7 linked regions of the Ovis aries genome follow. The protein of the gene in region 3 interacts with the protein of the main gene of each other region in a pairwise test. Links are inferred from orthologs where the notes say so. Each region holds a gene or a part of one and is shown on either strand. Other genes may lie near its edges. The genes, in order: NDUFB11, KCNS2, FATE1, SLC38A1, SEC22A, SLC7A1 and BNIP3.

Evidence for each region.
Region 1: the proteins of FATE1 (region 3) and NDUFB11 interact in binary tests that used the Homo sapiens proteins (3 or more experiments, as listed by UniProt). The two-hybrid records come from large-scale screens. The link is inferred for Ovis aries from reciprocal best matches to the Homo sapiens genes FATE1 and NDUFB11.
Region 2: the proteins of FATE1 (region 3) and KCNS2 interact in binary tests that used the Homo sapiens proteins (3 or more experiments, as listed by UniProt). The two-hybrid records come from large-scale screens. The link is inferred for Ovis aries from reciprocal best matches to the Homo sapiens genes FATE1 and KCNS2.
Region 4: the proteins of FATE1 (region 3) and SLC38A1 interact in binary tests that used the Homo sapiens proteins (3 or more experiments, as listed by UniProt). The two-hybrid records come from large-scale screens. The link is inferred for Ovis aries from reciprocal best matches to the Homo sapiens genes FATE1 and SLC38A1.
Region 5: the proteins of FATE1 (region 3) and SEC22A interact in binary tests that used the Homo sapiens proteins (3 or more experiments, as listed by UniProt). The two-hybrid records come from large-scale screens. The link is inferred for Ovis aries from reciprocal best matches to the Homo sapiens genes FATE1 and SEC22A.
Region 6: the proteins of FATE1 (region 3) and SLC7A1 interact in binary tests that used the Homo sapiens proteins (3 or more experiments, as listed by UniProt). The two-hybrid records come from large-scale screens. The link is inferred for Ovis aries from reciprocal best matches to the Homo sapiens genes FATE1 and SLC7A1.
Region 7: the proteins of FATE1 (region 3) and BNIP3 interact in binary tests that used the Homo sapiens proteins (3 or more experiments, as listed by UniProt). The two-hybrid records come from large-scale screens. The link is inferred for Ovis aries from reciprocal best matches to the Homo sapiens genes FATE1 and BNIP3.

Annotation. Positions count from the first base shown.
Region 1 is NC_056080.1:57,659,142-57,663,132, reverse strand, and holds NDUFB11 (NADH dehydrogenase [ubiquinone] 1 beta subcomplex subunit 11, mitochondrial), read right to left. Parts: upstream 2,719-3,991; 5' UTR 2,706-2,718; coding exon 2,499-2,705; intron 1,012-2,498; coding exon 881-1,011; intron 727-880; coding exon 600-726; 3' UTR 501-599; downstream 1-500. Other genes in the region: RBM10 (RNA-binding protein 10), read left to right, coding at 3,471-3,540. UniProt on the Homo sapiens protein: Accessory subunit of the mitochondrial membrane respiratory chain NADH dehydrogenase (Complex I), that is believed not to be involved in catalysis. Complex I functions in the transfer of electrons from NADH to the respiratory chain.
Region 2 is NC_056062.1:78,729,947-78,734,032, reverse strand, and holds the start of KCNS2 (potassium voltage-gated channel subfamily S member 2), read left to right. Parts: upstream 1-1,286; 5' UTR 1,287-2,097; coding exon 2,098-3,531; 3' UTR 3,532-4,086. UniProt on the Homo sapiens protein: Potassium channel regulatory subunit that modulate the delayed rectifier voltage-gated potassium channel activity of KCNB1 and KCNB2 by altering their kinetics, expression levels, and shifting the half-inactivation potential to more polarized values.
Region 3 is NC_056080.1:84,015,895-84,019,984, reverse strand, and holds the start of FATE1 (fetal and adult testis-expressed transcript protein), read left to right. Parts: upstream 1-1,290; 5' UTR 1,291-1,349; coding exon 1,350-1,458; intron 1,459-2,404; coding exon 2,405-2,520; intron 2,521-4,090. UniProt on the Homo sapiens protein: Involved in the regulation of endoplasmic reticulum (ER)-mitochondria coupling. Negatively regulates the ER-mitochondria distance and Ca(2+) transfer from ER to mitochondria possibly implicating it in the regulation of apoptosis.
Region 4 is NC_056056.1:140,259,054-140,262,553, reverse strand, and holds part of SLC38A1 (sodium-coupled neutral amino acid symporter 1), read right to left. Parts: intron 585-3,500; coding exon 484-584; intron 1-483. UniProt on the Homo sapiens protein: Symporter that cotransports short-chain neutral amino acids and sodium ions from the extraccellular to the intracellular side of the cell membrane. The transport is elctrogenic, pH dependent and driven by the Na(+) electrochemical gradient.
Region 5 is NC_056054.1:188,442,778-188,446,277, forward strand, and holds part of SEC22A (vesicle-trafficking protein SEC22a), read left to right. Parts: intron 1-1,897; coding exon 1,898-2,061; intron 2,062-3,189; coding exon 3,190-3,384; intron 3,385-3,500. UniProt on the Homo sapiens protein: May be involved in vesicle transport between the ER and the Golgi complex.
Region 6 is NC_056063.1:31,276,558-31,280,057, forward strand, and holds part of SLC7A1 (high affinity cationic amino acid transporter 1), read left to right. Parts: intron 1-498; coding exon 499-620; intron 621-1,125; coding exon 1,126-1,348; intron 1,349-2,047; coding exon 2,048-2,187; intron 2,188-3,500. UniProt on the Homo sapiens protein: High-affinity, low capacity permease involved in the transport of the cationic amino acids (arginine, lysine and ornithine) in non-hepatic tissues.
Region 7 is NC_056075.1:50,240,391-50,243,890, reverse strand, and holds part of BNIP3 (BCL2/adenovirus E1B 19 kDa protein-interacting protein 3), read left to right. Parts: intron 1-365; coding exon 366-450; intron 451-1,817; coding exon 1,818-1,927; intron 1,928-1,994; coding exon 1,995-2,147; intron 2,148-3,095; coding exon 3,096-3,141; 3' UTR 3,142-3,500. UniProt on the Homo sapiens protein: Apoptosis-inducing protein that can overcome BCL2 suppression. May play a role in repartitioning calcium between the two major intracellular calcium stores in association with BCL2.

The sequences.
Region 1 (3,991 bases), about 26 Mb from region 3:
AGCCCAGCTCTGAGCCACCACCCTCAATCCCTGGTCACCCTGGCCCTTCTTCCAACATAAGCAGTCCCAGTATGGTAGCTTTTTTTCTAAAGATGGCTGCTGTCCATTTCTTCCCATGTGCCACACCTCTATGCAGAGGAGGCCTGAGCCACCGTACAAAAGACCCAGGCTATTCTGCTGGAGAGAGAAGCCACACAGAAGACTCAAGTACCAAACATGGAAATAAAGAGGCCATCTTGGATGTTCAACCCAGTTGAGCCTTCCAGTGATTCCAGCCCCAGCCACTATCTGACTGCAACCACCCAAATCTTCAAGAAGGACTACCTCGTTGAGCCCAGTCAACCATAGGACCATGAAACATAATACTAAATTGTGTTAAGCCACCAAGTTTTAGGGTGTTTGTCACATGGCAACAGATAACCAGAATACCCAGAAAAGGCACCCCTACTCTGACACCCCCACTCCCACATCCTTCTCACAACAGAAGCAACACCAGCCAGTCACACTTTCAGTCCCTTTAATTAGGGGCTCTGAGGAGAGGGCAGAATGGCAGGCAGGGTAGAGAAGGTGGTGCTTCTTATGCCCCTTTTGGCAACCAGTTAGTCCTCATCCTCTGGCAGCTGGATCTTGCTGGGGTCGAAGCAGTTGGATTCCATGAGGGGGAGGCCATGGGCCTCTCGGTATTTCACAAGCCTCTCAGCTTCCCGGCGGGCCCACTCCTGCATCCTGGAGGCAGCAGCATGAGGGAAGATGTGAGGGAGCCTCAGTGGACATCAATCCCCATCTTAGTTCCCCAGGGAATGGACTCCTGGCAGTCTCCTACAGTATCCACCCCTGCCTCTGTCCCCACCCATCCCACTCTCTTGGACACCCCACACACCTGTAGTCAGGCAGATAAGCCACAAAGGTGCTGCCAAGGACCAAGACGATGGAGAATCCGAAGAAGAAGACAACTCGCATGTTCCAGACGTCCACAGCAGGGTCCTTGTCATAACCGTGGGAATCTGGGTTCTATGGCAGAGAGAAGTCAACGAGGGCTTCCTGCTGCTCCACAGAGCCTGATGCTGGTCCTGTATAACTTGGTCTCCAACTTCACCCTGAACCAATCTCTCCTCCCTCCCTAAATTCCTGTCTGTTCTTAGGACTTGTCAAGCTCCTTGCCACTACAGAGCCTTTGCACTTGCTGTTCCTTCTGTCTGGAAAGCCTTTCCCCCAGATTTAGTCGGGGCTGGATCTGTCTCCTTATTCAAGCTGTCGGCTTCATCTTCATTCCCCTTAGGAGGCACTCCCTAGTCACCTTATCTGTTAAGTTGACCTATAGGAAATTGACATTTTTACAGGTCAAAAATGATTGATATTGGCTATTTCCTATTTCTTCAACCTCATAACTTCCTATCCCTATAACTCTCCATCCACTTATCTTATTTAACTTTCTTTCAAGCATTTATTTGTTTACCAAAGTATCATATCCTTCAAATACTCTGATCACATTATATTATTGGTTGCATACCCTATCTTACTGTTTTCTAATATTTTACATGTTTATTTTCTATATTCTCCAGTACCACATAAGCTCTATGAAAGCAAGGGCTTTATCTGATTTCTATATTGCTGAATTTATAGCACATTGAACTTAGCCTGGCATACAGCAGGCCCTCAATGCATAGCTACAGAATGCATGAATGAGTATCCTATATATCCAAGCCCCTCAACAAGGGGTCAGTATGGATGAAGCATCTATTATATGCCAGGCCTTTTCACAAGCACAAATTGCACAATAACCCACTGAGGTGGAAAGTGGCAAAACAAACAAACAAACAAACTTCTAATGGTGAGTATTTGTACTAAGTGCCAGCTGCCGTTTTGAGCATTTTGACTCATTTAAATACCGGAGGCACATATAGTATTTTATTCTTTTAGAAAATGTCCTAATACTTTCCCTATCTTACAAAGAAACTGAAGCATCAAGGGCTTAAGCTACTTGCCCAAGGTCAATGCCTGTATTCCAACTATGGCATTCTGATTTCAGTCCACTATCAGATAGCACAGCAAACCTAGTTCTGCCACACATTCAGTTATGTGAGCTTAGGCAAGTCACTTAACATCTTTATGCTTCAGTTTCCTCATCTGTAGAATGGGTACACCAAAACCACCTACCTCGAAATATGGTTATTATGAGAACTAAATGAGTTAATGTATGTAAAGTGCTTCAAACACCTGAGCAAGCACCACACCAGTGTTTAGTAACATTGTTATTCTATATTGCTTCAAACGTGCTTTGAACATTGCCCACTTCAGGTTTGATGTCTGTCTGCAAAATAAGGCCAATCTCTGACCCTGAACCCGTACAAAGGAGGAAACAAGCTAGGCAGAATTTCCAAATCTTCGAAGATTTCGCCAGCTGCGCAATTCCCAGCCGACTAAGACCGTCCTCTACGGCGCCCTATCCGCCGGTCCCCGATTGACCCTTCCGGCGTCCCGTTTCCCCTCCCTCTCACCTTCTCATAGAGGTTTTCGTCCTCGGGTTCTGGGTCCTCCTGCCAGCGTAAAGTCGGTTCTGACGGCCGCTTTCCCGCCAGAGTGGACGGGGCGATCACAGCCCTGGAGGAGCTAGATTCCCAGCGAACACTGGCAGCCGGGAGCCCTCGCGTCGCCGCTACTGCCAAAAGGCGGCGGCCGCACAAACCCAACATCCCCGCCGCCATAACAGATCGTTCTGCAAGCTCTCGGGGTCGGGGACGGAAGTGTGACTCCGCGCAGCTGCAGTTGTTCTAAGCGCGAGAGTTGTCGCTCCGCCCCCGCCGCACGAAATAGGTCCCGAATCAGGACTTTGCTTTCGAACGGGTGAGAGGTTCTTTTTGCCTCACTCTGTCATGACTTCAGGGAATCAACCACCCTCTTATCCTCTCAGTCAGACTATGGAACTTCTGACCGCTAGGCTCTGGAATTTACTTAACGAAAAGAAAGCAATGACACATGCGTGGATGTTCCCAACCAATCGCGCGGAGAGCTGCCTCGCCCTCCGGCGAAAGGGGCGGAGCTTCCGTTGGTCTTTCATCTTCGAAGGAAGCCAAGCTTCTAAAACGCCAGCCTCGCCGGATTGGCCAATAGCTGCCGCTTTTCTCGACTTGCGGGCGTTCGCAAGGGGTGGCAATATGCTTGCCAATCAGAATAGGCCAGGGATGACCGAGGGCTGACAGCGACCAATAGACGGGGTTGGCCAGAGCGCGCTCCCTTAGTAGGTGGATGGTGGTCGAAGCGCCGGCTCCTTTCTCATCGTCGCCATTTTGTGTTGGTGATCGCGGCCGGCTGGGAGTAGGCGACAGTGGGTTTCCCGGGGAGGGCAGCGCTCCTGGCGCTTTTCCCCTCCCCTCCTCCGCCCTTTTGCCTCCAGCCTCGGACTTGCTAGTTGCGCGGACCGGCTCGGGCAGAGCTGGAAGAGTTGGAGGAGGTGGCGGCGGGCCGAGGTGATGTCCGGGAGCCCTCCCTTGACAGCCCGGGCGCAGAAGGTGAGAGTCGACGCTGGTCGTGGGGGTGGAGGTAAGGGGCCGGGGGTGGAGGGGGTTGCATAGAGGACCCACGAGGGCGGACTGTGGTCGATGGGTCTGGGCTTCGCGCAGAACCGACCGATGCTTTGCACATTGTGAGCCTGGGAGAGGGTGTCTTTTTTTTATTGTTTTTTGTTTTTCTCCTTTTGAGAGCAGAGGCGCGTGCGCGATTGGGGCACTGGATGGGTGCACGCGGCTTGGGGGAAGGGAGGGACGGATGGGAGTGGGCTCCTATGGCTCACTGTGTCTGCGACGCCGAACTTTTTCCGTGGGAGGCCGCTGTCTGCGACTTTTCTTTTTAGCCGAAAAAGTGTGCTCTCTGCTTTCGTGTGTGACTTTGGTACTAACCAACCCATGGGGAAGTGTTCTGTGGCTCTGGTCCTTATTCTTGGGTGGAGGAGAAGGGAGATCGTCGATCTGACTCGGGTCTCTATCCTCGGAAC
Region 2 (4,086 bases), on a different chromosome or scaffold from region 3:
GGGGAGGGGGGCTCCCCAGGGACTGTGGGTCCATTTCTCAGCTCTAACACAGCGGCAGTGCTTTGAGGAACAACCGTAGGAGACCAAGAGCTCAAATCGGGGCCACTGGTCTCCTGGGGAATGCAGACATGGGTACTGCGCACATCTATGCTGGATCCACACCCGCCAACTCCCGGTGGTGTCCACATACACACGTTTCGCGTTTCATTCGGCACTCGGACCCGGTCACAGCCCCACGGAATACTATGCTGTATACAGCACGCTGTACACACAGCTTACAGTCTGCCATTGTGTGCACACATCACAATGACAAGCCCCGGCTTCCCCTGTTCTGACACACTGTACACATTTCCCCCACTACCCCAGAGGTCCTATTTTTAATTAACGCTGCGCAGACCGTGCAAAGCCCTACTTTCCTCAGTCTATACACACCGACACACACAGTTCCCAGCCATCCTCCGAAGCTGGCACACCACGTCGGCCTGCACACACACAGTGCCCACACAGAGCTCCCAAACAGAACTCCGTGACTCCCTCCCACGCCGGTAGGGCCTGCGCTGCCGGCCCCAGCAAGCTAGGCTGAGCTCGACCTTGGGTTTCTGTGCCCCCCGCTTCTCCCCCCTCTTCTCTCATTCCTTTCCTCACCACCCCGCTTCCCCCGCAGCCTCAGGAAACTTTTCAGCAGGTCCCTGAAAGGGGGAAACCTGGAGTTCCTCACGTCCCGCCCTTCCCCCTCGGACGGATGCAAGTCGCCGGTCATTCCCCAGGTCGGCTCCGCCCGAGAGACTCAAGTAGGGAAAGGTCACCGTAGGCAGCCCCCTGCCTGCGCCCTGGGAGCAAGAGGGTGGTCATAACAGCCTGTCATCAGGGGAGGTAGGTGAGTGATCGGGAAAGGTGTCGGCTCGGCCTCGAGCCGCGGGCGCCAAGGGGTCTCCGCGACGCCGAGGCGGTGGCCTCTCTGGAGTCCGGGCGGCGGCCTCGCGGGGAGCTGGGAGGCGCGGAGCTGTCCGTTCAGCACCACCGCGCCGCGCCCCAGAGCAGGGCCCGCGCAGAGGCGCACGGGCTCGGCTCCCGCTCCGGCTCCCGCGGGCTGCGGCGCGCGTGGTTGTCTCTCCTCGGTGCCGAGGGGCGCGCGGATCTAAAGGGGGGGGGGCTCTGCTAGCGTCGGGGCCACGCAGCCACCTGTGAGCCTCCCGCAACTGCGGACGGCGGCGGCCTCTCCGGCCGGAGACAGGAGGCGCTCGGCGGACCCCGCCCGCCCGCCGGGCGCACACACAGGCGCACACACACTCAGAGCACCCTCGCGCACACGCACAGCCAGCCGGCAGCGGCGGCCGCAGCGATGCTCGCCGGCAGGTCGGGGAAGTTTCCCGCCGGCCTCGGCCGCGGGCCCCAGAGCTCGCAGGTAAGCGCTTCCAGAACGCGCAGGGCGAGCCGGGGTAGCTCCGCCGGGTAAGGCGCGGCGCACGCGGCTCCGGGGCACGGCGCCAGGCGGGCGGGGGAAGCCCGGGGCGGAGGACGAGGGGGGCTTCAGTCTTGGGGGGCTGGACTCCGGCGGCGCCGGGCCGGCCCCCTTACCCTGTCCTGGGGTTAAGGACTCGAGAGGTGGATTTCCCCGCCGCCCCCTCCCGATGCTACGCGCCCCCCCATCTCGGCCCAGCCCTGCCGGTGCGCATCCCAGCTCTGGTCCCGCCTGTCTGCGGCGAGAGGGCGGGGGCGTCTCCTCGGCCCGCCCACGGGCAAGGTCAGCTCGCAGCTCGCGGAGCCGCTGGGGTGCGACCCCGGGCAGCGGAAAGCGACCGACAGAACCCCCAGGATGAGGGTGCGGGCGCGGCCATGCTAGTGGAAGCACAACCCGCCCTCCCCAACTCCAAGCCTTTCTTTGGGAGGCGGGGAGGCAAAGCCCAGAGAACGGTCCTCCCATCCCAGTGTCCTTCAGTACTCAGAGACCCGCTGGAGAGGACCGGGCGCGCTAGAGACGGGTGGGGAGAAGGGAAGGGGTGCCCGAGCCCTGAGCGCCGGGCGCTCACCCGACGCGCTTGCTTTGGCTTCCAGGTGTAGCGCCCCCGCGCGGCGCGGGCGGCCGGCGTCTCCAGCATGACTGGCCAGAGCCTGTGGGACGTGTCGGAGGCCAACGTCGAGGATGGAGAGATCCGCATCAACGTGGGCGGCTTCAAGAAGCGGTTGCGCTCGCACACGCTGCTGCGCTTCCCCGAAACGCGCCTGGGCCGCCTGCTGCTCTGCCACTCGCGCGAGGCCATTCTGGAGCTCTGCGACGACTACGACGATGCCCAGCGCGAGTTCTACTTTGACCGCAACCCCGAGCTCTTCCCCTACGTGCTGCACTTCTACCACACCGGCAAGCTTCACGTCATGGCAGAGCTGTGCGTCTTCTCCTTCAGCCAGGAGATTGAATACTGGGGCATCAACGAGTTCTTCATCGACTCCTGCTGTAGCTACAGCTACCACGGCCGCAAAGTGGAGCCCGAGCAGGAGAAGTGGGACGAGCAGAGCGAGCAGGAGAGCACCACGTCCTCCTTCGACGAGATCCTGGCCTTCTACAACGACGCCTCCAAGTTCGATGGGCAGCCCCTGGGCAACTTTCGCAGACAGCTGTGGCTGGCGCTGGACAACCCCGGCTACTCGGTCCTGAGCAGGGTCTTCAGTGTCCTGTCCATCCTCGTGGTGCTGGGGTCCATCATCACCATGTGTCTCAATAGCCTGCCAGACTTCCAGATCCCTGACAGCCAGGGCAACCCGGGCGAGGACCCCAGGTTCGAAATTGTGGAGCACTTTGGCATTGCCTGGTTCACCTTTGAGCTGGTGGCGAGGTTCGCCGTGGCCCCCGACTTCCTCAAGTTCTTCAAGAACGCCCTAAACCTGATCGACCTCATGTCCATCGTCCCCTTTTACATCACGCTGGTGGTGAACCTGGTCGTGGAGAGCACGCCTACCTTGGCCAACTTGGGCAGGGTGGCCCAGGTCCTAAGGCTGATGCGGATTTTCCGCATCTTAAAGCTGGCCAGACACTCCACTGGCCTCCGCTCCCTGGGGGCCACCCTGAAATATAGCTACAAGGAAGTAGGGCTGCTTCTGCTCTACCTCTCTGTGGGGATTTCCATCTTTTCCGTAGTGGCCTATACCATCGAAAAGGAGGAGAACGAGGGCCTGGCCACCATCCCCGCCTGCTGGTGGTGGGCCACCGTTAGTATGACTACCGTAGGGTACGGGGATGTGGTCCCGGGGACCACAGCAGGGAAGCTGACCGCCTCTGCCTGCATCCTGGCAGGTATCCTGGTGGTGGTACTACCCATCACCTTGATCTTCAATAAATTCTCCCACTTTTATCGGCGCCAGAAGCAACTTGAGAGTGCTATGCGCAGCTGTGACTTCGGAGATGGAATGAAGGAGGTCCCTTCCGTCAATTTAAGGGACTATTATGCCCATAAAGTTAAATCCCTCATGGCGAGCCTGACGAACATGAGCAGGAGCTCGCCAAGTGAACTAAGTTTAAATGATTCCCTACATTAGCTGGGAGGGCTTGACATCCTCAAACCCACATTGCTGAGCTGTCTCTTGTGCCTCTGGCACGGTTCAGGTATCCTAGGGTTATGGCGTGAGGAGTATGCCCAGCCCCAAAGGGGAGAAAATGCATGGGATCTGCACCCCAGGTTGCTTCTACAGTATTTAGGATCATTTTTAGAGGGTGGTGTGTCTGACACCATGCCTTTGCACCTTTCAGTGAAATGACACTCACTGGTCTTCGCATCGTGGGCATAAAATGTTCACCTTTCTGCCGGATGAGTACCACCTAGAATGCTAATTTCTCCGTTCATTGTATTCTCTCATCTAGTGCTCATGGCCCAGGACTGTCTCTGAGTTGTTTGTGCTCCTGTTTCTGAGGCTGTCATGTGCGTTCCGTACAAAAAGCCCCCACAAATACGTCCTGTGGAAACACATCTGTGGGGCCTGCAAGGATAGGATGAGGTTTTGCTCACAGTCGGGTGAAAACAAAATCTCAATTCTTTATCCATTGCTTTCATTTAGTTTTAATATCAAACAAAGAGAATGTGAAGTTAAGCAGAC
Region 3 (4,090 bases):
ATTGTGCTTGGTTTCTTTACAAATAGCCTCCTCTTCCTCAGGAGCTCTGAGGCTATTCCCAAGAGCTGAGGGTTCACCTTCGGTGGCTGTATGAGTCAGAGTTCTCCAGAGAAATGGAACCAATAGGAGGTATGTATGTGTATGTATATGTATTGTTGCACTCACTCACTGAGTCATATCTGACTCTTTGCAACCCCATGGACTGTAGCCCACCAGGCTCCTCTGGCCATGGGATTTCCCAGACAAGAATACTGGAGTGGGTTGCCATTCCATTCTCCAAGGGATCTTCTCAACCCAGGGATCAAATCTGGGTTTCCTGAACTGGCAGGTGGATTTTTTTTTACCACTGACTCACTATGCATATATGTGTGTGTAAAGAAAATTTTATTTAAAGAATTTGGCTCATGCCATCATAGAGCTAGCAAGGCCAAAATTTGCAGGACAAGTCAGCAGGTTGGAATGTTAGGGAGGGGTTGAGGTGTAGTCTTGAGCAGAATTTCTTCTCTGGGAAACCTCAGTCTTTGTTCTTAAGGCCTACAGCTGATTGAATGAGGCCCATTCACAGTATCAAGGATACACAATGTCCTTTACTTAAAGTCCACTGATTATAGACATCAACAGCTACAAAAAGTGCCTTGATAGAAACATCTAGACCAGCACGTGATGGAATAACTGGAGACCTTAGGCTAGCCACATGGACCATAAACATGACCACTGAGGTCTATTCAGTAGGGAAGCTGAGGGAAAATTTGACTTAGAATAGGGGGTGCAGGGCTGGGGACACTGGAGGCTCCAGTAAGCAGGCCCCTCTTCTGCACATCTCTCCTTTGGTTTTCATGGTTCCTGTCCAGGATGATCCAGGGTGTCAAAAGTCATGTCCCTTGCCTGGGAATTCTGGATGGGGTAAGGCAGGATGTGCTCTGTAGAGGATGCTTTCTGAAGGGGGCTATGGCCTGGACTGTTAACCAAAGCTGGCCTTGCAGAAACCACGGTGGGATCTAAACCTGCTTTGGCCACTGACCAACTCTGGAGTCCTGTGCCAGCCCCTCCCTCTATCTAGAAATGAGGTCAAATCGGATGAGCTGAGAGCCAGGGCAGCTTTCCCAGGCAAAGATTCAGAGTCTATCGCTTCTCCTAAGTTGCTTACAGAGTAGCAGAGAAGAAGACCTTGAACCCAGCCAGCAAGATACAGCAGGAACAGGAGGTGCTGGGTCTAATGCTTGAACTCAAAGTGGGAGTCTGGCTCCACCCCTGTGTCCAGATATATCTTCCGCAGAGAGCTGATTTCCCAAGCCTCCTCCGAGCCTTGGACCCTGTGCCTTCTTGGCCATTGCTTACAATTGGTGGTGATGGCAGGAGGAGCAGTCCCTAACCTCAAGGAAAAGATGCAAGTGCCAAAGGATGAAGACCTGCTTCTTGGAAGCTTTAGGGATAACCAAGAGCGCTCAGTGGCAGCAGGTGAGGATCCCCCGTAATGTCCCTTCCCTTGGGTATCTACACCTGTGCATGCATGTTAGAAAATGCGCAGGTTTGGCTTGGCAGAAGCATGAATGTGTGTTTGCATGTATTTGTGGGTACCTGTGTGTGAGGTAATGGGATTGATAAAAGTGAGCCTTTTGTAGCGTGTGACGGGGAAGGTTGGATGAACACCCCTCCCATTGCAAGCCACCAGTGGATCTTAATGCAAAACACTCAGTGGGTTCAATTTATAAGATCATTCAAAGCAATTCTCTCTCCTAACCTTCCAGTACCTTCTTCTGCCCTTTAGAGTAAAGCTCCTTTCCATGATCTACAAGATCCACATAAGGTCACCTCCTCAATATACTTCCTGCTGTGGCATGCTGACTCAGTCCACAGTGCCTTTAAGCCTGTCCTGTAACATCCCAAGACTCTTTCTTCTTCACAGCCTTTTCACTATGTGTTCCCTCTTTCCTCAGATTTTCTATGGCTGGACTCTTTCTCTTTCAGGTCTCTGCCTCAGTGTTGTCTCTGACTTTTCTAGAAGTATCCCCTTCCTTCTGTCTTGTTATCCTGTTTTTATTGTTTTGGGAGCATGCATCTCTTGATTTGCACTGATGGATTATTTCCTATAACCCCCACTCTCGTTACCACTTTCTCTGTACACACACAAACAATCAATTTTTTATTGCTGTGATCTTATTTCTTGGCCATTGCTTGCTCTTTAAGAACCTAGCCCAGAGCTTGACACTCAGTAAACACTTACTATATTTTGAGTACATGAAGAAATTGAGACCTGAGATTAGCCAGTAGATGCCAGAGAATGGGTGTTGAGTGCTTCCTAAGATGTTGGGGGACCCTATCCTATTTTTTGGTGTGTTCTGTGCCCATGAAACCTTGGGATAGCCTCTATGGGTATTCCTTGGGCCTCTGTTCTTCTCCCTAGAAATGAAGGAGCATATATCTCGGTTGCTGGGTGCTTCTCAGCGGCGACAGAAGGTGGATCCAAAGGCTGTTGGCTCTGCTGCGGTTTGGAATATGGCTGCAAACCAGTCCAAGAAGGTGGTACTGTATGGCATTTGGTGGCTAGCTTGAGTTTGGGGGAGTTTGCTACAGTTGTAGCAGCTCTGGTATGGAGATGGTAGGTCAAGCAGGGCAGATGTTGACTTTGGGGGAAGGACAAAGCTCCTGTGTTCTGGGCAGGCAAATGAGGGCAACAAGGTCTGGCAAGAGATCATGGCCATTCTTTGTTAGTTCAACCTTGAGGGTCCAGAATGTCTGAAACACACATTGCTTGTGGAGTACATATCTACTTTCTTTTATTAATAAATTAGTAAATATATCTATATTTGAATCTCTATATGTATATATGTATATATCTATATGTTATGTCTACTCTCTATATATATTTCTATATAGAAATATGCAAAAGTATAAAAATCATTATATATATATATATATATATATATATATATATATATATATATAGTTGCTGTTTAGTCTCTAAGTTATGTCTGACTTTTTGAATCCCCATGGACTGCAGCATGCCAGGCTTCCCTCTCCTCCACTATCTCCCAGAATTTGCTCTAATAAATGTCAATTGAGTCAGTGATGCTATCTAACCATCTAATCCTCTGCTGCCCCCTTCTCCTTTTCCGTTTAATCTTTCCCAACATCAGGGTCTTTTCCAGTGAGTTGGCTCTTTGCATCAGATGGCCAAAGTACTGTAGCTTCAGCAACCATCCTTCCAATGAATATACAGGGTTGTATATATATCTCTAAGCATATATAAATATAGATATACATGTATCTATATCTATCTTAGGGCTGGGACTAGGGTAAGGCAAGTGAAATGCCTATGCTCTCTGGCTACTAGGAAATCCAGTCAATTGAATCTGAGCATTTTGTAGCCAATCCTTTAAGTTACATTCTATATGAGTGAGGGAATGTTCTAGAAAAAATGGTGGCTATACTGTTGCAAAAGATACTGAGAAAAGGCAGTCATTTTGGAGAAGAGAAAGTCCTGACTCTTCTTGGGAATCACATGAATCCCATCATCCTTCTGTAGCCAATTCTTTTAACTACATTCATCTTGGGTGACAGAAAATTTTAGAAACATAGTTGTTAAACCACTGCACGTTTACTGGGAAAGGGCAACACCTTTGGAGAGGAGGGAGACCTGAGTGTTCCAGGCAATCATGTGAGTCTCATGTTTTGTAGCCCATCTGATAAGTAAGCTACTTTTGCTGCAGATGCTGGCAATTTTAGAAACATGGTTGTTTTACTGTTGCAAAGGTTATAGGAGGTAGAGGGAAGGCAAATTGACTGGAGAGGCAGGAAGACCTGATGTTCTAGAAAATCAGCCGAGTTACATTTTGTTCCTCTGTAATGAATTTTTAAAATTATACTAACCATATGAGGGAATGTTGTAGAGAAAATGGTGGCCATGTTGTTGCATTCAGTTCAGTTCAGTTCAGTCGCTCAGTCGTGTCCGACTCTTTGTGACCCCATGAACCACAGCACGCCAGGCCTCCCTGTCCATCACCAACTCCTGAAGGTTACCCAAACTCATGTCCATTGAGTCAGTGATGCCATCCAACCATCCCATCCTCTATTGTCCCCTTCTCCTCCT
Region 4 (3,500 bases), on a different chromosome or scaffold from region 3:
CATATTGAAGCAAAGCTCCACCTGCTGCTGAACAATCAGGTGTTTTATTCTTAATTAACACACAGTGTCATGAGTGTAGCACTCTACTCTTTCTCACTTTCAAAATCTGTCTCTGTCTCTCTTTTCTATTAATGGAAAATGACCCAGTTCACAACAGCAATTAGGAAAGCCTTCTCTGATATAGTTCTAAACCTTCCTTAGTAAAGGTGACATGCTTATAAAATGCATTTTTTTTTAAGGACAGTATTAGGAGAAAAAATTATGGCATGTTGTTTCAGTAATTATTCTATTGCATAGTCAGCATGAATATGTAAAGGAACCATAGCCATTTGCTTTAAGCAGAAGAAAAGATCAGTAAAATCAATGGATAGATTTGTTGCTTTTGGGGGTTATCACACTGAAATATCAGTACATATTTTGATACTGATTTATAATAATTTACTTACTAATACCTATATTTAGGTACCGACAGAAGGTACTTACCATAGAATGTCAAGTAGCCAAAAATGGCAGTCAAGAAATACATAACAAACATGGCGAAAAAGGAGATATTTGAAACCATCTGCATCTTTTTCTGTGATCGACTAAAAACAAAGAAAAAGAAATTTGAGAAATTAAAAACCGTGTTATTGAATGTAAGCACAAATATTAACCCTGAAGAATGGAACTTAACATTCTTTCTATCAGGCTTGGGCTGATTTGAGCTGCTGTAATTACCCCCAGTAATTATACCAAATATGCCAGTTTCCAATAACCTTCTTTACACTGATTGGGTATTGTGAGAGAAAGAGCCGTGGAACAAACAATCCCTTGAATGTTCTTCCCCATTCTTCTGAAAGAATACTGCGTTCTCATCTGAAGGGCAGAGTGTATTTTTTTAACATTTGTTTGATACTATCTCCACACTCAGGATGCACAGGAAAAAGGCAGAATAAGTTCCAATGCTGTTTTCTTGGCTCCAGAGATCAGGCGCTGAGCTAGAATTTGACTTTGCGAGTTTTGTCATTAAAGCTGCTATTTAAGGTCTGATTTTCCCACCGAATAGCCTCAGGGAGGGTGTCCCAGGTGGCTCAGTGGGTAAAGAATTCACCTGCAGTGCAGGAGATACTGGTTCCATCCCGGGGTCAGGAAGATCCCCCGGAGGAGGGCATGGCCATCCGCTCCAGTATTCTTGTCTGGAAAAATCCCACAGACAGAGGAGCCTGGCAGACTGCAGCCCACGGGGACGCAAGGAGTCAGACAGGACTGAAGTGACTAAGCACGCACGCACTCACACAGCCTCAGGGAAGCCTGTATGTCTCCACAGCAATTGGTGCCCAAGAACTCACAGCTGGGATAAGGAAAGCCTCTCTCTCTCTTAGGTTAAGTTGATCTTGGGAGTTGGCATGAACCTCTAAGTTTCTTTAGCTGCCTAAACAATTAATCTCCAAGACTTGTACTCAAAGAGTAGGCCACCAAGAAGCACGGCATTTGACTATGTCATAACAGGAAGTATGGAAAACAAGACAAACTGAGAAGTACCCACATAAGAAAACTACAAACTAAAAGCAGGACTATGACGTTTAAAAGATGCCTAAGAAACCTTAAATATAAGATCATAAAGCAGGACTAATGTATGCAAAGATAGGCAGATATAAATACTTCAAAACTTAGTCATAAATCAATTTAAAATGAAAGAGGAACTATCATGAGTGAATTCAACCCTGAATAACATCATCTTTCTTTCAAAATGGAAACAGATAACTATACTGTTAATCTTTTCTGAGCTTAAGACTATGCCATGATGCCTATTTCAAGAAACAAGAAAAATGTCAAACAATCTACCCTGACACCTACAGAAACTAGAAAAAGAAGAACAAAGTCCAAAGTCAGTATAAGAAAGGAAATAAAAATGAGTGGAAATAAATAAAATAGAAACTAAAAATAAAAAGACAATAGAAAGGGTCAATGAAACTAAGAACTGATTTTTTGAAAAGACAAAATTGACAAACCTTTAGCCAGGCTTACAAAGAAAAAAAGACAGAAGGCCCCGATAAATAAAATCAGACACAGAAGAGACTAAGTACCAACAAACACCATCGAAATACAAGGGACGAGTATTATGAAAGTTATACACCAACACACTGGGCAACCCAGAAGAAATGGACAAATGCTTAGAATCATATAACCTTTCAAGACTGAGGCATGAAGAGACAGAAAATATGAACAGACCCATCACTAGTATAGAGATTGAAGCAGTCAGCAAAAACCTCCGGAAAAACAGAAGTCCAGGACCAGAGGGCTTCACTGGTGAATTGTACCAAACAGTCGAAGATTTAATACCTATCCTTCTCAAACTCTTCCAGAAATCTGAAGAGGAGGGAATGGTTCATAACATATTATGAGGCCAACATCTTTGTGATACCAAAACCAGACAAAGACAACACAAAGAAGGAAAATTGCTGGCTAATATCTCTGATGAATATAGATGCAAAAACCCTCAACAAAATATCAGCAATGACAAACCCACAGCAAACATCACTCTAAATGATGAAAAATGGAAGTTATCCCTCTAAAATGAGGAAGAGGACAAGGATGCCCACTCTTACCACTCTTATTCAATCTAATAGCAGAAGTCCTAGCCAGAGCAATTAGGGAAGAAAAAAAAAAATAAAAAGCATCCAAGTTGGAAAGAATAAAGTAAAACTGTCACTATTTACAGGTGACATCATTTTATATACTGAAAACCCTGAAGACTCTACCAAAAAACTATTAGTGATAATAAACAAGTACAGTAAAGTTGCAAGGTACAAAGTCATACAAAAATCTGCCATGTTTCTATATGCGAACAGTGAGATAACAGAGAAATTAAGAAAACAATTCATTTACAAGTGCAGCAAAAAGAATAAAATATCTAGGAATAAATTTACAAGGATGTAGCTACAGAGAATAGAGCATTGGTTACCAGCAGGGAAGGGGTAGAGGGAGGGCAAAATGGGGAAAGGAGATCCAGTGTATGGTGATGGATGGGAACTATATTTTTGTGAGCAGGACACAGTGTGTATGGAAGTAGAAATATCAGGTTGTACACATGAAACCTATGTAAGTTGTAAACCAGTTATCTCAAAAAAAGAGACTATGACATGATAAATATTTTTATGTAGAAAGTCTGATAACAGTAGGCCAAGAAGAGAACCCATGAGGGAATTCATAAGCAGTCCTTTCATTCTCTTAGAAGAGCAATCAAAAACTAACCCATAATCACTGCAACAGTTTAAAGTGAACAACAATATTCTTCTGTCCAGTTTGTGGTCTTAACGTTCATTCCTTCATGCCTGATTTACCAACCTTTTCCAACTAAACCAAAAGGCAAATCATATACAATGTATTCAGTGGTTCACAGATGAATCTGAAGATGACCATTATTCATCTGCAAACTAATCACAAGTAATATAAAGCAACACAAACACTTGAACTCTCTTAAGTAACACAGTATTTGAAAAACCAAATTAATAAGAAAA
Region 5 (3,500 bases), on a different chromosome or scaffold from region 3:
ATGTGAATATTTTAAAAGTTAAATTTAAAGTGATATTAATAAATTCTGCTTCTATAATAGCAGAGAAAAAGGGAGAGAGAGAGACTCTGATGTAGATCAGGGTTCGGTAGGAAAAACTGCTGTGACAGATTAGCAGTGTCTGGCATGGGAGTGGCAAGGTTATAGCCTGTATGCTCTGTTTGCTTCCCTTGAGCTAGACCAGAACGATGTTGACAGTACTATGCAAGAACATTTAATGACTCGTTGAAAACTATCAATTTCTGTCCCATCCTATGCACGTTATAGGGCAATGTATACTTTGTTTTAGAAATTTTTTTTCCAATAGAAGATGGTTAAACATTTTTGTTTTTAAATTTTAACTTATTTAGAAATGATTTCAAACTTTCAGAAAAGTTGCACAAGTATGAAAATTACAAATATTACTTGAACCCAGAGTCACATTTTGTTAACATTTTACCCCATTTACTTTATTGTTTTATCTATCTGATTTATTTTTGTCTAAACCATTTGAGAGAAACAAAAATACCATACCCTTTTATTCCTAACTACTTCAGAGTGTATTTTCTAAGGTTAGAGATATTCCTATACTTAATTATAGTATGGTTATCAGATCTAGTATATTTAATATTGATACTATACCTTTACCTAAACTACCGTACCGCCTGTTTTCTGTTTTTGTCAGTTGACCAAGGAATATCCTCTATAGAATTTTCCCCTTCTGTAACACAGGATCCAGACTGGGTTAGGTATTGCATTTAGTTGTGTCTCTTTAACCTCCTGTGATCAGAAATGTTTCCAAAGCCTTTCTTTCTTTCTTTTTTTTTTTACAACTTTGAGATTTCTAAAGAATACAGCTCCCCACCCCATACCCTTTTAAAGAAAATAGAACGTTGATTACTCTGGTGTTCCTTCGTGATTAGATTCAGATTATGCATTCTCAGCCAGAACTGATATGTCTTACCAAGGATCACATCTGGAGGCATGGGAAGGCCATCTGTCCCTCTTTAGTGATATTAGAGTACCTGGTTAAGGTGTTGTCTAGTTTCTACTGTTTTATAAATACAGTAGAATTCCCCTGCAGCCAATAAGCAATCCATGAGAAGACATTTTAAAGCCATGCACGATTTCCTGCTCCTTACCAAAGTACCTACCTAGATTTAGCACCCACTGTTTATAAATGGATTCATTCTTTACTGTGTAGGCTGCAAAGTGCTAAGTTTCCCAGTTCTACCACTGTCTCCACATTTACCAGGTGGTATTCAGCATTCTGCTATGAATGAGTCTTCCTTTCTTCCCTTTTATTTGTTGTTATGAACTCCTAAATTCTCTTTTTCCCCCAATGATACATAATTCATTTTGTGAAGTAGAGGATTTGATTTTGGAGTCAGTGGATAACTTTAGGAGGTCAGTAATCACCTTGAGACTGTTAGCCAAATTCTGTGTTGTTTCTGCAAAGAGTGTCCATAACTTTCATCAGAACCTCAGTGTTGAATTCCTCTAGGTTGAAGGATTGAAATGTTAAGCTATCTGTGACTCTTATCTATTTGCATAGTCTTTCCTGCTTTCTACCCCAAATGATAAGTAACTGAAACATTCGAATCACAGTATATGTCCCTCTCCACTGTTTAAAAATGAATCTTAGTTTGAATGTAGTTGATTTACAATGTTGTGTTAGTTTCTGCTATACAGCAAAGTGGATACATTCACTTTTTTGTCTATTGTTTTTAAACTGCAACTGATTTCAATTCCTTTAATTTTTTGCCAAAATATTTAATAAGTGTTAATATCATCAATGCCTCTGTAGCAGCAGTGTATGGTGTATAGAGCCAGTCTTGTGAAGTAATGGATTACCTTGATTTAATTTGAAATTTTAAATCCGATGTTTTCTACACTGTAGTTTTATTAGCTCTATGGGAGTGAGCTACATGATGTTGTGCACTGAAAATTACCCAAATGTTCTGGCCTTCTCTTTCCTGGATGAGCTTCAGAAGGAGTTCATTACTACTTATAACATGATGAAGACAAATACTGCTGTCAGACCGTACTGTTTCATTGAATTTGGTAAGGGCCTGATTTTTTTTTTCTCCCTTTTCATGTCTCTATTCAGTCATAAATGACTTTTCATCTAATACTAAGGGACAGAGAGAAAACTCAAAAAATTCTACTAACTTTCTTTTGACAGAATAGTTCGACAGTCTATAAATTATGGCAACTTCTTCACTTGGATGCCTATTAGAAAAGGTTCTCTTTGAACTCTCTAGAGGATCGTGATTATTGGCTCAAAGAATTAATCCCAGAGGATAATTTCTCAGTGAGAAATTTATAAGCTACAGATTCAGAGCTTTGTGTTTATGTGATAGTATTTTTAGGCTGCTTAATATAGAACAGAAGTTGACAAACGTTTATTGGAAAGGACCAGATAGTACAATTTTAGGCTTTAAGGATTATTTTCTCAGTCTCAGTCCTTGCTATTATGGCTTGAAAACAGCCATAGGCAGTGCATAAATGAATGAGTATAGTTATATTCCAGTAACATTTTGTTCACAAATAGAATCAACAGGCTAGATTTGGCCTGTGGACATTAGTTTGCTTGACTCCTGATGCAGAAGGGGGAAAAAGGGTAAATTCAAGGTGCAAATAGTGGAAATAAAATTGGGAGAAATTTAGGAAATGTCTTTTATTGATTTCATTAAATTTGTTCTTTAAAGCATATGTTCTAATGGTATAAGCAATAAATAAGAAAACAGGTTTATATGAACATGCAATTTACAGTGTATGTTTTAATGTAATTACAACTGGTAATACTTACAGATAATATTTTATGAGATCTGAATCCCTGTACAAATTAAAGCTTTGGTTTAAATTTAAAGGGAGCTGTTTTCATTTTTTTTTAAGAGGTTCAGAGTAATTCCTTGAAGTGGATATAATTGTAGAAGTATTCTCACAATCATGTGATATTAAATCCTTAGTTTAGTTATAATTACTAGTTTCTAGAGTATAATTTCTAGTGAGAAAAACTGATGATGCCATGATATATTAAACACAAATAATATTAGGGCATTCCATGACAGGTTGAACATTTAGGATAACAAACTGTTTATCACCAAATTTACTGTCTGTAAACATCACACTTTCAAATGATTTAATTAACAAATGACTGCAAGGAAATTTATTTTTTATTTTACATAGATAACTTCATTCAGAGGACCAAGCAGCGATATAATAATCCCAGATCTCTTTCAACAAAGATAAATCTGTCTGACATGCAGATGGAAATCAAGCTGAGGCCCCCTTATCAAATTTCCATGGGTGAGCTGGGGTCAGCCAATGGAGTCACATCTGCATTTTCTGTTGACTATAAAGGTGCTGGTAAGATTTCTTCTGGTGAGTTCTGGATCTCAATTACTTCATTAAAAAAGTATTTTCTAAGAACTGAGGGGCTCTTAAAAAATGAATTAATTTATTCTAAAATTTTAAAGCAAGTACATGAATGTAGAAGC
Region 6 (3,500 bases), on a different chromosome or scaffold from region 3:
GGTTTTTTTTTTTTTTTTTTTTTATTTATTTTATTTGGAGGCTAATTACTTTACAGTACTGTAGTCTTTTTTGCCATACACTGACATGAATCAGCCACGGGTGTGTGTGTTTCTCCCATCCATCCTGGATCCACCTCCTTCCCCATGCCACCCCTCAGGGTTGTCCCAGTTTGGTGCATGACACAGGGCATTCATGCTGTTTTGAAGAGACTGTTTCTGCCAGCTGATGGGATTTCCTGTCGCTGGCCATCCCCGTGCTCTGCATCCCTGCGGTGATGACCCGCGCTGGCCTCTGGCCAGAGAGGTGTTTGTTTCCTGGCCCCTTGGCCACCAGTGGGGTCCTGGAGTTACGTCTGCCCACAGCCCCGGGGCCGCTGTCCTGCCGGACGGGGGACGCTGCAGGACTGGGCCTAGCTGCTCGGGGTGGCCGTCAGGGTGGCTCCTCTTCAGGCCCACGAAGCAGGGGCCTGTGACCCTGACGGAGGCTCTCTCTTTCAGTGACACAGAGGAAGGGAAACCCGGTGTCGGTGGGTTCATGCCCTTCGGGTTCTCCGGTGTCCTGTCGGGGGCAGCCACCTGCTTCTATGCCTTCGTGGGCTTTGACTGCATCGCCACCACAGGTAGGTCCACCGCCCTCGGGACACCTGGGCTCGCCTGGCCAGGCGTCTGATTCCCCTCCCCCGGGTGTGTGCATGCCTGCCGCTGCCCATTTGCTCCTGAGTGCCCGAGTGTGGGTTTGCACCTTCCTGCCAATCCCCCTTTCATTGCTCCCCAAGTGGCCTGCCCGACAGGAACTTGCCTGCCTGTCCCGTGTGGGCCCGGGGTGATGGCACCGTGGCTGCAGCTGGCGGCAGACCCCATGTGCGCTCCGGGGGAGTGTGGCTACCTAGTCCGACTTTGTCCGGGCACTCGAGGGGGCCGGGCTCCAGCCTCCAGTGTGTTCTCTTTTCCACGATGACTCTCAGCGAAAAGGCTGAGAGCACCTTCCCTGGGCCCTTGGGTATTGTGTCTGGTCTGAGGGCCTCTCCCCTGGGTTCCCCGGAGCCTGGAAGGGCCCTGGCCCTGCAGGGCCATGAGCTGCAGGGTGGTCTCAAGCCCTCCGGCTGAACTCCTCCCGCCTTGCAGGGGAGGAGGTGAAGAACCCACAGAAGGCCATCCCCGTGGGCATCGTCGCGTCCCTGCTCATCTGCTTCATCGCCTATTTCGGGGTGTCGGCCGCCCTCACCCTCATGATGCCTTACTTCTGCCTGGACAAGGACAGCCCCCTGCCAGACGCCTTCAAGCACGTGGGCTGGGAGGGAGCCAAGTATGCGGTGGCCGTTGGCTCCCTCTGCGCCCTGTCTACCAGGTGAGGGGCAGAGACGCTCGGGAAGGCGGGTGTGCCGTGACCACTCCTCTCTCCCCTTGAAGTAGAGCCCAACCCAGCCCCGATCGTGGGACTTCTCCCCTTGGGCTGCTCTCGATCAATCCCTGGGGCTGTCTTTGCGTTAGGGACGTTCATCTCAATAGCCTGAGGCCCACATTTCATCATTGTCGGCTCAGCAAGGGCTGCGTCTCTTGTCCCTGACTGTGGCCACTGGCCAGACCAGGCCACCTCTGTGAGCACTGCCTCTGGCCCTTATTTTGGCCATAAAGCAGAGGCTACCATTGAAAAGGAGCAAGTGCCGCAAACGCCTTTTAATGAGAGTCACTTTGCTCTCATGCTCCCTGCTAGCCTGTACACACAGGAAACCGCTGTGGACTTCAGGGAGATCTTCATGAAGGCAGTGACGTTTTTCTTTTTGATTCAGCTGGAGATAATCGCGGGAATAAACGCAGAACATCTCTTCCATAGCACTGTGTCTAGATGCCACGCTGGTTTACGCTAGGCGTTTCCCACTCACACACACGTGCAGACTTGCTGCAAGCGCTCCCCCGGGCCCGGCGTGTCGCGCCGCGGGCCTCCCAGGTTGGAGCCGGCTCCCTCTCCTGGGTGTGAACACCTGTTGCGATGCCTTTATTCTCCCAAGCTCTCTTACGGACGCAGTTCGCTTTTCCTCCCATCTAGTCTTTTAGGTTCCATGTTTCCCATGCCTCGAGTCATCTATGCCATGGCTGAAGACGGGCTGCTGTTTAAATTTTTGGCCAAAATCAATGACAGGACCAAAACACCGATAATCGCCACCTTAACCTCGGGTGCCATTGCCGGTAAGAACTGGAATCTCCTATCCAGCATTTTAACGGCTGAGTTATTACTCCCTAAGGCAATGTCTTGGCCTGTGCCCGTCTGAGAGAAGTTGCGACTGGTCTTTCTAACGTTTGGTTTTTACCCTTGGAGTCTGGTTTGTCGCAAGGTAACTGAGTGCCTTTTGACAAAAGGCAAATGCTAGTTTCTCAGAGGATGTAATGGAATTCTCAAACAGGTCGCATTTTCCAGTGATTACCGTCTCACTGGACTGAGCTCGGCATGTACACTGTCCCTTCAGAGCTGTGTCTTGCCCCTTCCCCAGGTGTCCCTGAGTAGACCTTGGTGGGGTAAAGTCCTTCACAGTATATCCCCTGTCTTGTCGGTGCTGGAAATTCACCGTCCGTGTGTCTTAGCTCGTGAATTCTCTAGGAAGCGAGAATCCCTTACGATCAGCGTTTTATAAAACATGCCACCTCTTCCCCAGGGGACACTGAGGGTGTGTCTGGGGTAGCCCTCCGCCCTGAGCCTATGAACAACAAATGGCAGGAGAGAGGAGGTGGAGCTGACGGATCGCTATCAGGTCCCTCGCCAAGAGGACAGAAGGGAGCGGCGGGCTGGGGAACCCTTGGGCCTCTGTGTGCACCTTGAAAGGCAGGGCAGCCCTGGAAAGAGACCCTTGGTTTTGTTTCCTCTTTGAGTCGCGTTTCACCGCCCAGAGGCAGGTGCACAGAGGAGAGGCGGAGGCTCAGAAGGGGGAAGTGAGGATGCACGCCCAGGGAGGACAGCAGTGGTTCTCGGTTCCTGGTTTGTCTTGGGGCCAGGCTGGCTGGGCCCTCCCAGCCCATGTGTGGAGCAGGAGGTCTCTGTGGTGAATGAGGACACGTGCCAGCCACAGCTGGATCACAGGGACTTGTCAGATAGCCACAGGGGAGGCGTTTGACCCTCTTGATGAGTGAATTGTTAACAGCATTCACACCCTTAGCAAAATGTGCTTACTTTTATGGGTCAATGTTGTTTAACGAAAGGAAGCCAGTTTTTCTTATTTCACACGTGTGCTGTATGAGTCTGCATTCTCGAGCATGATCGCTGTGGGCAGGTTAAGGGACACCGTGTGTCAGTATGTGACCCATGTGTTTAAGGGATTAAGGAACTGGAAATAGTGAGTGTTTTTTCTTTTTTTCCTCCAATATTCACATGTAATGTGATCGTACTGAAGACTGGCCTTAATTTCCTTCCTGTGCTGATTAAGGGAGATGAAACTACAGTCTTTAAAGCCACTGTAAAGTTCTTGTATCACCAGACCAAGGGTTTGCTTTTTCTTTATTTGGTCAGA
Region 7 (3,500 bases), on a different chromosome or scaffold from region 3:
CACGCGTCACGGCGTGGCTCCGCAGGCCTGCCTGGCCTCCGTCAGCGCCCAGACGGCGGGCCCTTTGCTCTCAGGTCGGGGGACACCACCCGTGGGGTCCTGCCCCTGCTTCTGCCTGCTGGGCCTCGAGCTCAGCTGGGAAGGCAGGGGGCCGCTGTGACTGTTGGGCCCTGGTCCCCCCGGGTCTGGCTGCTGCCTGCTGGGTGTCGAGCTCATCTGGGAAGTCAGGGGGCCGCTGTGACTGTTGGGCCCTGGCCCCCCCCCCGGGGCTGGCGGGAGTACTTCCTTCTCCCGGGACGCTGTCCCCTGTGTGTGGGGGTCTGTGTGTCCTGATGGGAAGGTGGACATGTGCTGTTTCCCCCAAGCCCGCCCCGCTCACAGACCCCGCAGGACACTAACAGAGCTTCTGAGACAGACGCGCACAGCCTCGGAGAGAAGAACAGCTCCCAGGTAGGGTGCGCACGGTCTGCCTTTGTGATCTGTCGGAACCGGGTGCTGGGGGACCTGGCCCAAGAGCAGGACTTCTGCTTCCTCAGACCCTGTCTCAGCTGTGGGGGTGGGGCGTCTCCAGCACTTCACAGAGTGGACCGGAGGCAGCCGGGCCATTTGGTTCAGGGTGTGTGCCCAGGGCCCCCTCTGCCCCACACGCCCTCCAGGGGACGAGGGGCGGGAGAGGTGGGGGCCCGTGGGGGTCTGGAGGCCTGCGCAGGGCCTCCCCACTGGGACGGCACTAGTTGCTTCCAGAAACCGTGCCTTGGGCTTCACTGACTCGCGCTTGTGTGGTTCGGGTTAGGAGCTGACCAGACTGGTGGAGGCTGAGCCTCGTTTTCTGACTTTCCTTTAAGAATCTCTGAGTTGCTGGGGCCGTAGCCCCGGCTGGGGGGAAGTCCATGAGAGCAGGGTGGGCTGTGGCCCGAGCTGCCTTGCTGAGACCTGGGCTGGGCCAGTGGCCAGTGCGGCCTCGCCAGGCCGTCTCCCTGCCTGCTGCCTCTTGTGATGCTCGGGGGTGTCGGGATCTAGGAACCTGGGGGCCCCTGCTTTCCTGGGGGCTCAGCTGGTAACGAATCCGCCTGCAGTGTAGGAGACCCCGGTTCCACTCCTGGGTCGGGAAGATCTCCTGGAGAAGGGAAAGGCCCCGCTCCCTTCCTCACTGTGAGAGCTGTGGGGACCGAGCTTCCGGCCGATGCCACTGGTCCCCGTGCTGCCTGCCGGGTGCCCCTCAGGCTCTCCCTCCCCAGGGGCTCAGCAGTCCTTGTGCTCGGGCTTCTCCAGGGTGCTGCCTGCCTGCTCCCAGATGTGCAGGGTCCAGCCCAGCTTTGCTGTGTCCAGGTGTTTGGTTGGTTTTGGTACCGTGTTCTAGAATATTTCCATAATTTCCCCCCCTGAATTTAAAGAGGAATTCTATGATCAGGCACAGAGTTTTTAAAATTCTAAGAAATGCATCTTTTTAAAGCTCTTTAATTAGCGTACTGTTAATAATGTGTATCTTTAAGGTCACTGAGACCAGGGGTGTGTGTGGGCTTCTGGTCCTCTCTTCTGCCAGACGCGGACGTGCACCTGCTCACTGCAGCCGTGTGCCGTCAGCTCAGGCACATTCCTGTTGCGGGCCTTTTCAGGGATTTCTGTTTTTCCTTTTACACCCAGGACCACAGCCGGCGTCTCTGTGGACGTCTGTCCCCACTGGCCGGTGCCCCCCTGGGGCAGTGCCTGCAGCTCAGGGCCGCTGGAGTCCGGCGGGCCCTCCACAGGGGGTGTGGCGGGGGGCGGCGAGCTTCCTGGGGTGGAGGCAGCGGGTTCACCGACCTCGTCTCCCGCAGTCCGAGGAAGACTACATGGAGAGGAGGAAAGAGGTCGAAAGCATCCTGAAGAAAAACTCAGACTGGATTTGGGATTGGTCCAGTCGGCCAGAGAACATCCCCCCAGCCAAGTGAGTCTGCGTCCGCGGGGGCCTCTGGGGCCGGGAGCCGGCGCCCGCTGACCGCCTCTCCCCGCAGGGAGCTCCTGCTCTTGAGGCACCCGAAGCGCGCCCCCACGCTCAGCATGCGCAACACGAGCGTCATGAAGAAGGGCGGCATCTTCTCCGCCGAGTTCCTCAAGGTCTTCCTGCCGTCGCTGCTGCTGTCCCACCTGCTGGCCATCGGGCTGGGGTGAGTGTCGCCCGTGCCGGCCGCGGGCGCAGGCTGGGGAGGCTCGCACGTGGAGGGTGCTGGTCTCCCCGGTCCTGACGCGGGTGGACGGGCTTCTCCTGGGCAGCCTTCTGGGCCCCCGGCTGTCAGGATGGGCTTCTGTTGCGGGCTGGGCCCCCAGGCTCGAGAACGGGGCAGAGCAGATGCCGGGCTCGCTGGCTTGGGGAGGCGGGAGCAGAGCCCCCACCCGTCCCCCTGAGCCCCGGCCCATGGCCTGCCCCCGCTCTGGGCTCTGCCCTGCCTTCCCCTTAGCACAGCGTGTGGACTGTGTGGGCCAGTGCCTCTGAGTCGGGCTGTCAGTCCTGCAGGGAGCTTTGTCCAGAACCAGCATTCAGGTCCTCTAGGGCCTGGCGGGGTCAGGCTTCAGCCTTCACTTTGGGGTGGATTTCTGCAGGTGTGTCTGCTCTCTGAGACTTCACGGGGGTCAGGATCAAGCCCTCCTGTCCCGTTGCTCTGCGGAGACCCCCTACTGGCCTGCAGGCCCTTGATGTCCTCCCCCCCGCCCTCCTCCCGGACAGCCCCCCGACACCCCTCCGTTCTGGGCTCCCTGGGGCGTCCCGTGCAGCAGTGGTTTCTGTGAGATGTGCCGATAAACCTGGGGCTGTCAGCTGTCCTGTGGGCGACTGTCTGATCAGGTCAGAAAGTGAGGAGACAGGGAGCCTCTCAGCTCAGGAGGAGCTGGCCTTCGTGTGTGCCGAGTGTGTGCGCTGCGAAGCTATTAGCACACAACTGGCTTTTTCTGAGTTGGATGCTGAAATGCGTGCTGGTAAGAGTGACGCCCACGCGTCCACTGAGTGCTGGCAGCCAGGCCCCTTCGGTGAATGAGCTGGGCCGGTCAGCTGCTGTCTCAGCAGCGCGCGCCCCTGGGAGGCGCACTGCCATGTGACGACCGCCTCCTTTCTCTGTCAGGATCTACATCGGAAGGCGCCTGACCACGTCCACCAGCACGTTCTGATGCAGGCTGTAGCCCAGTGTCCCCACGCCGCGGGGGCCCGTGCCCCGCACAGCGCACAGAAGCAGCTGTCTCGGTCCTGGGCTGCTGCCCCGCTCGTCGTTTCTTCTGGCAGCGCCGCCTCCCTAACTCAGAGAGACAGACAGTAAACCACGCTCTCCCGCAGCCAGACTTGGGGATCGAGTGACAAGCATGTCATTGATTAATACCTACTGTAATAATTTGGTAGTAACCTTCCTCAGATATTATAAATATCAAAGTATAAATAATTTTAAAATCTCTAGTTATGTTGTATGCAGTATTTTAATGAATTACCTGCGACCTTGATCGCGTTAGACACTATTTTGAGGGAAGGGATGCTG